Nothobranchius furzeri: one gene and its partner. The protein of the gene in region 1 purifies or fractionates together with the protein of each later gene. This does not show direct contact. Links are inferred from orthologs where the notes say so. Each region holds a gene or a part of one and is shown on either strand. Other genes may lie near its edges.

The links. Proteins that work in one complex are often made in the same cells at the same time.
Region 2: the proteins of nedd9 (region 1) and crkl purify together in Homo sapiens (affinity purification with western blotting; 4 studies listed by BioGRID). This does not show direct contact. The link is inferred for Nothobranchius furzeri from reciprocal best matches to the Homo sapiens genes NEDD9 and CRKL.

What each region holds. Positions count from the first base shown.
Region 1 is NC_091759.1:25,485,569-25,489,068, reverse strand, and holds part of nedd9 (enhancer of filamentation 1), read right to left. Parts: exon of another isoform or gene 938-3,500; intron 931-937; coding exon 625-930; intron 1-624. UniProt on the Homo sapiens protein: Scaffolding protein which plays a central coordinating role for tyrosine-kinase-based signaling related to cell adhesion. As a focal adhesion protein, plays a role in embryonic fibroblast migration.
Region 2 is NC_091746.1:46,875,078-46,879,100, forward strand, and holds the start of crkl (crk-like protein), read right to left. Parts: upstream 2,801-4,023; 5' UTR 1,851-2,800; coding exon 1,540-1,850; intron 1,113-1,539; coding exon 641-1,112; intron 1-640. UniProt on the Homo sapiens protein: May mediate the transduction of intracellular signals.

The DNA of each region.
Region 1 (3,500 bases):
CAGGTGCTGAAACACACCTGAGATCATTCCGGCAACAACCGGATTGATTCAACTAAAAACCTCTTCAGGTTCTAATTCTAATCCGATCACGTCTGGAGAAGTTACACGGATGAATAACCGGGAAAGTTTTCTCCTCGTGTTCCCACAGACCTGCCAGAGGAGGAGGGGGGGAGGAGCAGGAGGAGCAGGAGGAGGAGGAGGAGGAGGAGAGCTTAAACTTTCAGGAATCCTGAGCTTCAGCTGAAGGCTGGAAAGAGGTGAGAGCTTGCTGTCCTGAAGGTCTGCTGAGCGGTGCAGCAGCAGGATGAGGACGAGCTAACAGCAGCTAACCGGGTCTCACCGGCCCGGTTAGACCGTCTGAACATGACCCGTTCCTGCAGGCAGAAGTTCAGCTGCTCATTGGAAAAGTGATGGAGACCAGAAGATTTAGGAGACCTGGACCTGGACCGGGCCAGGGTCTTGGACCGGTTGCTCATGTTCCATCCTACCTCTGCAGCTGCTTCTAATGACGAGCTTTTCCGTTAATCTCATCAGAATAAACCCCATAAGCTGCTGGGTAATTCCTCCTCTGGATTCACCAGAAAGCTAACTGCCAGATTAGCCGATAAAGGGAGCAGCTCTCACCTTGCTGGGTGCGCTCTCAGCGCTGAGCGTGCTCCTCGGTGGGACCTGGTAGAGGCCCTGCTGCTGGAGGCTCGGAGCAGGAGCCTGGGCGGCGGCGCCCGACGACTGGGCCTCGAACATGGGTCCGATCAGCAGCTTCAGGCGGTTCCCGGGAGCGATGCCCTGACAGCCGCGCAGGGAGCACAGCCACCAGCCCTCCAGGCCGCCGGTGTTCTGCTCGATGACGGTTAGGATGTCCCCCTTCCGGAACGCCAGCTCCTCGGGAGACTCTGGAACGTTGTCGTACAACGCCTTGGCCATCAGGTTCTGCAGCCACAGAAACAAAACTGTTGTTAGACGCGCCGAACGGTTCAAACACACACCACAGCTTTCATCCATGTTTAAATCTGGTGATTACAAATAAAGCTGGTGAACATTTCCCATCATGACCCCGTAGGGCATCATAGCCCCGCCCCCAGCAGCTGCTAAAGGCCGTGCAGTCACACGACCTCGCGACCTTCAGCTGCGCTTGAACCTGAACTTGACAGGATCTTCTCAGGGTTTTGGGAAGGTCTGGTGAGGGCTCATGGGTAACGAGCCCCCAGCGCCGCGGCATTTAGGACCGATTAGCTCGTTAAACGCATCAGCAGGAGGGAGGAAACGGGCACGAATGCTTGTTTTCAACCTTCGTAGAGCGGCCGTGCACTTCCAGCCGTGCACGCCCCATTAGGTGCAATTAAGATGTGCGTGACTTGCTCAAGGGCACGTTGCCTGATCCAGAACCTGGCAGTTCCAGGTTCTGGATCCGTCTGGGTCGGAATGAGAAGAAAACAAACAGGAAGAAGAAACTCTGCAGGATTAAATCAGATTATAATCTCTGATCAGAACACAAAGCCTTTACAGCTCCAGGAGAGCCGTGGGTTTGTTTCTGGTACCGTTGGTGGGCCCGGCCGCCCTGGACCTCCTAACCCACCCATTCTGACTCATCTGAGGGAACTGGAGTTTACAGAACTCACCTTATGATAAAACCTGAATCTGGTCATGGGAAATAACCGTGGTGAGTTCAGGGACAGACTGAACAATCAGGCTTGTGAGATACCGGCGTAAACACAGACGGAGGGTGAGGCCCCGCGAGAACCCCGGCGAAAGTTCGGAGATGTTTTGGAAACTCCTTTGTGAACTTGGTTCCTTCATTTGATCGTATTTTATTCTGAGGGTCATAAAGGCCGCGGCTCTGACCCGTCCTCCCTCACGTGAGAACAAGCCTGCAGGGTCTGTGTTTGACGAAGATAAACAATTATCCTGATGCAGAAGAACATCCAGACCCTCGCTGAGGAGGTTAAGCCAGCAGCGGGAGCAGACATGCCTTCTGTCCTCCTGAACACACTGACACCAAACAACAACGACCAGAATATCTGCGCCCAGCTGGCATCAACGCAGAAGCACCCAAACCAAACCACGGGCAGCTTCCCGTCAGTCTGCTGGAGGCTTTATTTAGAGCCAACGTTCTTCTTCTGTTCCTCCTCCTGATGGAGAACCACGCCGAGGGATGACTGAGGTAAGGAGGAGGCCTGGATCCAATCAGGTTCAATCAGAAACTTTAAAAGTTGCATACCGTTCACGTCTTAGAGGGAAATCTGGAGCAGCAGGTCAAGAATCAGAAATCGGTATCGGCTTTAAAAAGCAGAATCAGTGCATCTCCATCTAAAACCATCTTCAGCCTGAAACCTCCCCTCCCCCCTGAGCTGAGCTGAGTGTGACGTCGTGGTGAGTTCAGGGACCACACAGATCCAAGGAAATGGGCTGACGCTGTTCACAGGTTCTCACTGGTTTCAAACACGCAAACATTGTAACCAGTGAATCAGATATCTGAGGGCAAAGGTCACCGGTAACAGCAGACGTGTCTGAAGCCAGGAGGAGGCGACTGGGCGTGTCCTCGTCGTCACGCCGATGAGTTTTTATCGCGTTCAAAGGTTGAAGAACGTTTCTACGTCCTCAGGCTCAGACTGGATTCTTCTACTTCAAACCGACAACTAAAGTTTTATTTGTCCCTTCTGGGCTCCTGTAGCAGGATGGCAAACAGTCCGTCTTCCTGTACAGACATACATCTAAGCGTCAGCTTCATCAAATAAAACTGGAGATTTAAACCTTCACAACCAAGATTTGATGTTTTGGATTTTTTTTTACATTAAGTCTTGTTTTGCTGCAGTCAGCGACCGAGTGGTGAAGAGCAGCGATGACGAGGAGGAGTTCTACGACTCGGCTTCATCACCAAACAGATCTGATCAGCGGGTTTGTGAACCAGCCGACATTCAAACACGTCGCCCAATCAGAGTAAACACGCATAGAAACGGTTTCCTCGGCCCACGAACGCACCCGAACCTCTGACCCAGACAAACGACGGTACCAGACCGGGAAGGCCAAAGCTGAAATCCAGCTCGGTGGTTCTGGAGACTCGGACCTGGATCAGAATCCTGGCTGAATCCGCACAAACGGAAGAAGAAGAAAATATCGTTTCTATAGCGCCTCTCGAGATAAAAACCACGAGGCGCTTCGCAAAAGCAATAAATGTAAAAATATAAAAAATAATTTAGAAAATTTTAAAAATATATTTAAAATGAGCAAAAATAGACAATTATGATTTAAAAAATGTTAAGAAAGAGAGAGAGAGTGAACAGGAAAGAGGGAAATCAGTGGATCCTGAGGAAGGTGGAATAGGTAGGGAGAGCAGAACAAGGTGAGGGAGGTGATGGAGGTCATACAAAAGCCTGAACAGGTGAGTTTAAAGGAGACCACTGAGTCCACTGATCTCAGGCTCAGAGGGAGAGAGGTCCAGAGTCTGGGGCCACAGCAGCAGATGATCTGTCACCTTTGACCTTTAGCCAAACAGAACCAAC
Region 2 (4,023 bases), on another chromosome or scaffold:
TATGGATGAATGATTCACTATAGTGGAAAGCACTTTGGAGTCCACTGACTCAGAAAAGCGCTTTACAAGTGTGGATCATTTATCATAAAAGTAGTCAAAAACAGGTTAAAGCCACTCCTACTTGGAAAAGGTTAATATTTGCATAAAAGCACATTAAAATGTAAGCATAACGAACACCAAAGAACTGGAAGAGTGATTTGAGTTATTCTGGGACTGTTTCACACCCTGATGAAGCAGCCGTGTAGTTTCAGTACTGGTGTCCAACTCCGTTCTGTTTAAGGGAACTTTACTGGTGACTTTAACACATTCCATTTTGTACGTTATTGATTTTACAATTTTGTGCGTGTTGGTAAGCTGTCCAAGTAACTAAAACTGAATCATTTTTAGAAATTCTGCTCCGAGATGTTTCTAATACAATTTTAACACAGCTTATCTTGTATACATAGTAATATTTTGTTCTTCCATGTGCAAATTTTTATGGTAATTGTTCGTTAAATACATAATATATTAAAATGTCCACCAGAATAGAATTGGTAAAGGACTAAACTGAAAAGAGGAAAGGAAAAGCTGGTCCAACACATTTCACATCTGGTGCAAACTTTAACATTGACCGAATAAAAAAATAAAAGTTCTACAATACCTCTAGAGCAAGAGCTGTTTTGTCATAGGCACATGGCACTCGTTTCTGGATAGCCTTTGCCACAACAGGACCATTCGGCATGGAGGGAAGTGGATTGATGACTGCTCCGGGTGTGCCGGGAGGCAGCGGGGATGACGTCTGAGGTTGGGCGTAGGCGTTAACAAGGGTGTGAGAGGGCTCAGGTATCCCGTAACTGTTGGAGTTGCGAGATCCGTGTGTGGGCTGGCCAGGGTGGGGTGGTCGTACCAATTTCTCAACGTAGGGCACAGGGATCATACCGACACGTCCGTCTCTATTTTTGGCACTCCACCACTGTTCCTCAGGCTTCTCCAGGATGATGAGGAGCTCACCCTTTTTGAATGGAAGGTCCTCCGCGTCGCTCCCAGTGAAGTCGTATAGTGTCCGCACATACTCCAGGTTCTCCTCTAAGCCAATCATAGGCTGAATGGGACTGCTGATGGTACTTTGATACCTTGGGAAGAGAAACATCAATCACTTTACTGATGCAACTCTGTTGTCAAAGCAAAACTGAAACAAACAAAAAAACTAAATTATGGGCATTATGTACCCTTAAAACTTAGGAAATAAACCTAAAAACTAGTGTATAATTGTTTAACTGGGATCTATGTGTGCTTTCCACAGACGTGGTTTAATCACAATAGTTTAAAATACATGACAACTACAAAAAACAACAATTTAAAGGGGAAAATTAAGTAAAGGCATTAGTATACATCCAAATAAGCCAAACCCAGTATCCACATCTTGTTTATTAACCACGTCTCCACAGGCTTTAAATGTGTAAACCAGATGTGCAAAACTCGAACTGTGCAAACTATGCTACAACCGGTTATAATAAAATATCTAAGAGAGTAGTTCGTGGTCACAGGAGGGATTTTTACCTGGGAGCAGGTTCTATTAGCGTAGTCGTGTCCAGGTAGTGGATTTTGTAGAACTCCAGGAGAGCTGGGAGGTGTTCAAACTCTTGGTCGCCTATCTTAAACCTCTTGCTGGGCAAAGAATTGATTATATAGTGAGAAACCTTGGAGTTCTCCGACACTGACAGCACATAGTCGCCTGGGCAGGTGGAGGAATCTCGAACTAGAAACATGCCATGCCTCTGTCCCTGTAACCTGTTCTGTGCTTCCTGTCGTGACACGGGTCCAAAATACCAGGCCGAGCGGTCGGATGACTCAAACCGAGCAGTTGACATTTCTGTTCAAATATAAGTTAATAGAAATTTAAAAAAAAACACGTGAAAGTGGGAGTTCAAGCAATCGTACTCTCACAGCAAACCGTTGGTTTTGGAAGATGCAGGGCAGGGCATGCGCCACCCTGGAACGGTTTCCAGTAATTTCTGCACAAACGCTGCAGGCTCTGTCGACCTGAATAAATAAGAAAAATCAAAATAAATCTGAAGTTTTCAGGAATAGGGAGCGAGTGACTTGATCCAACTTTGGAGCATAATGCGCTTCCTCTGGCTCAGCAGTCCGAAGCTGAAGAATTGTTGAAGGAGCCAAAACGAAGAGAATGATTAACTGACAGAAAACAAACACCGTCGGAGACCCAAGCTGCAAACGATCAAAGAGGCTTCCTTCTTTTCGTTCCGCCTTCCGAGAAAACACCAAGCTTTTCTACAAATTGTGTATCTCTTTCAGACAGTGTCAGTTATGAGAACGGAAAAGGTGGCCTCAGTTTTTCATCCGATGAATCCCCATGTCAGCAAAAGGTTGACAGCAGCCGCTGGTAGGTAACAAGTAAATAACTCAAATCCCTTTCACGGCGAGGCACGCGTCAAATAAAGAGCTTTCCGAGTTCCTTCTCTGAGTCGAAGCAGAGTTTTGAGGCAACACAGCAAGAAAAATGGCGGCCCCGCAACACGTCTTCACCCGAGAAACAAATTCAATGCAGCGGTGTGTCTGCCGCGTGAGCATCCCAGGACTTGGACTCGCACTCCGGAGCTCCCGCGTGCATTCCTGACGGCTCACGAAGTATCCAGACTCGGACAGTCTACGTTTTGTACTTTCCTTTCTTTTCCCAAGCAAGTCCTCCTCTTTCTCAAGCCAACCAAAGTGCGAGCTTTAGACCCAAAAAAATGGCGACGGGAGGGCAGGTCCCGCTTTCTAGCTGCACGTCACCGACTACCAGAGAAGGGGAAGGGGCGGAGGAAGGGGGGGCTGGTGACGAACACACGAAGCGGTCCCCACCCCCACGTCAGGATCTCGCGGCCACTCAAAAAAACACTGAACACAGAATAAAAGATTGGTCTTAAAACTAAAACACGTGACTTTTCTGAAATTTACAATGTAAAAATCTGATTTTAAGAGATTTAACCCTTTATAGAGTCATCATTGAAATTTCAACCACTGTTCCAGTAAAAGAAATGCCCAAAAAAAAACAAGTAAGACAATGTGTAGTTTTTAATCATTAATCTCTGGAAATATCTATCAAAACATTTTTGAAAATGCATAAAATGATGCAGTCGTTGAAAAATATTGGTGGCTTCATAACATGTAACCATAAAAATGGCAGTGTTTCCCCTATTTTTCCAGCTGTGGCGGTGTGGCCGGTGTCGGTAAAAGATCTGCTCGGGTGCAAGATCGGCTCGGGGTCCGTCGACTGCCGATCACGTCAAAGTAGTTGATTGGCTGAACATGAACCTTACGGAATTATGTAATCACGTTACGTTATTGGTCCAGGCAAATCTTTCTGTTGGAAAGATGGACAACTTTTACAAAGAAATCCATCATTACCTCTTTGAAAATACACTTTTAGCATAGAGCTGCATGTATATTAGGGCTGAACAATTAACTGCATGCGCAATTAAATTGCGATGAGACAAAAGGAGATTTTCTAATCGCAGACTGCAATTTGGCAGCGAGTGGTTAGCGCAATGCTGATATACGTGGAAAAACCAATTGAAATGCTAATGCTAATATCACAATTACATTTTTACAAATTATGAATTAGAAACGTGTCAAATGATTACATTTGGAGTCTAATAGAAAGTAAAACTACCATCAATCAAATAAGTACAGACTGGTATTTCAGTAAAGCCATAAAACTTTTAACTCCAGAGTTTCCGCTATCAGTTATGAGCGTAACTGAACTACGCATGCACAAGGCGTCAAAAACTAAACACAAAATACTTCAATAAATGGGACACACTTCTTTCCATGTATGTCTGATCTCTGAATTGTGTGTACTGAAACTCAATTTCGTGGGGGGGGGGGGGGGGGTGCTTGGGGAGAAATTATGACACATCTCTAAATAAAGTAAAATTTTCTAGTGCAGAGTGGAAACAACCCATAGGAGCACTGATTTGATCTCATTTCAGAGAAAAATAGAACAGGTTAGATCACATGTGTCAGAGTCAAGGCCCGCGG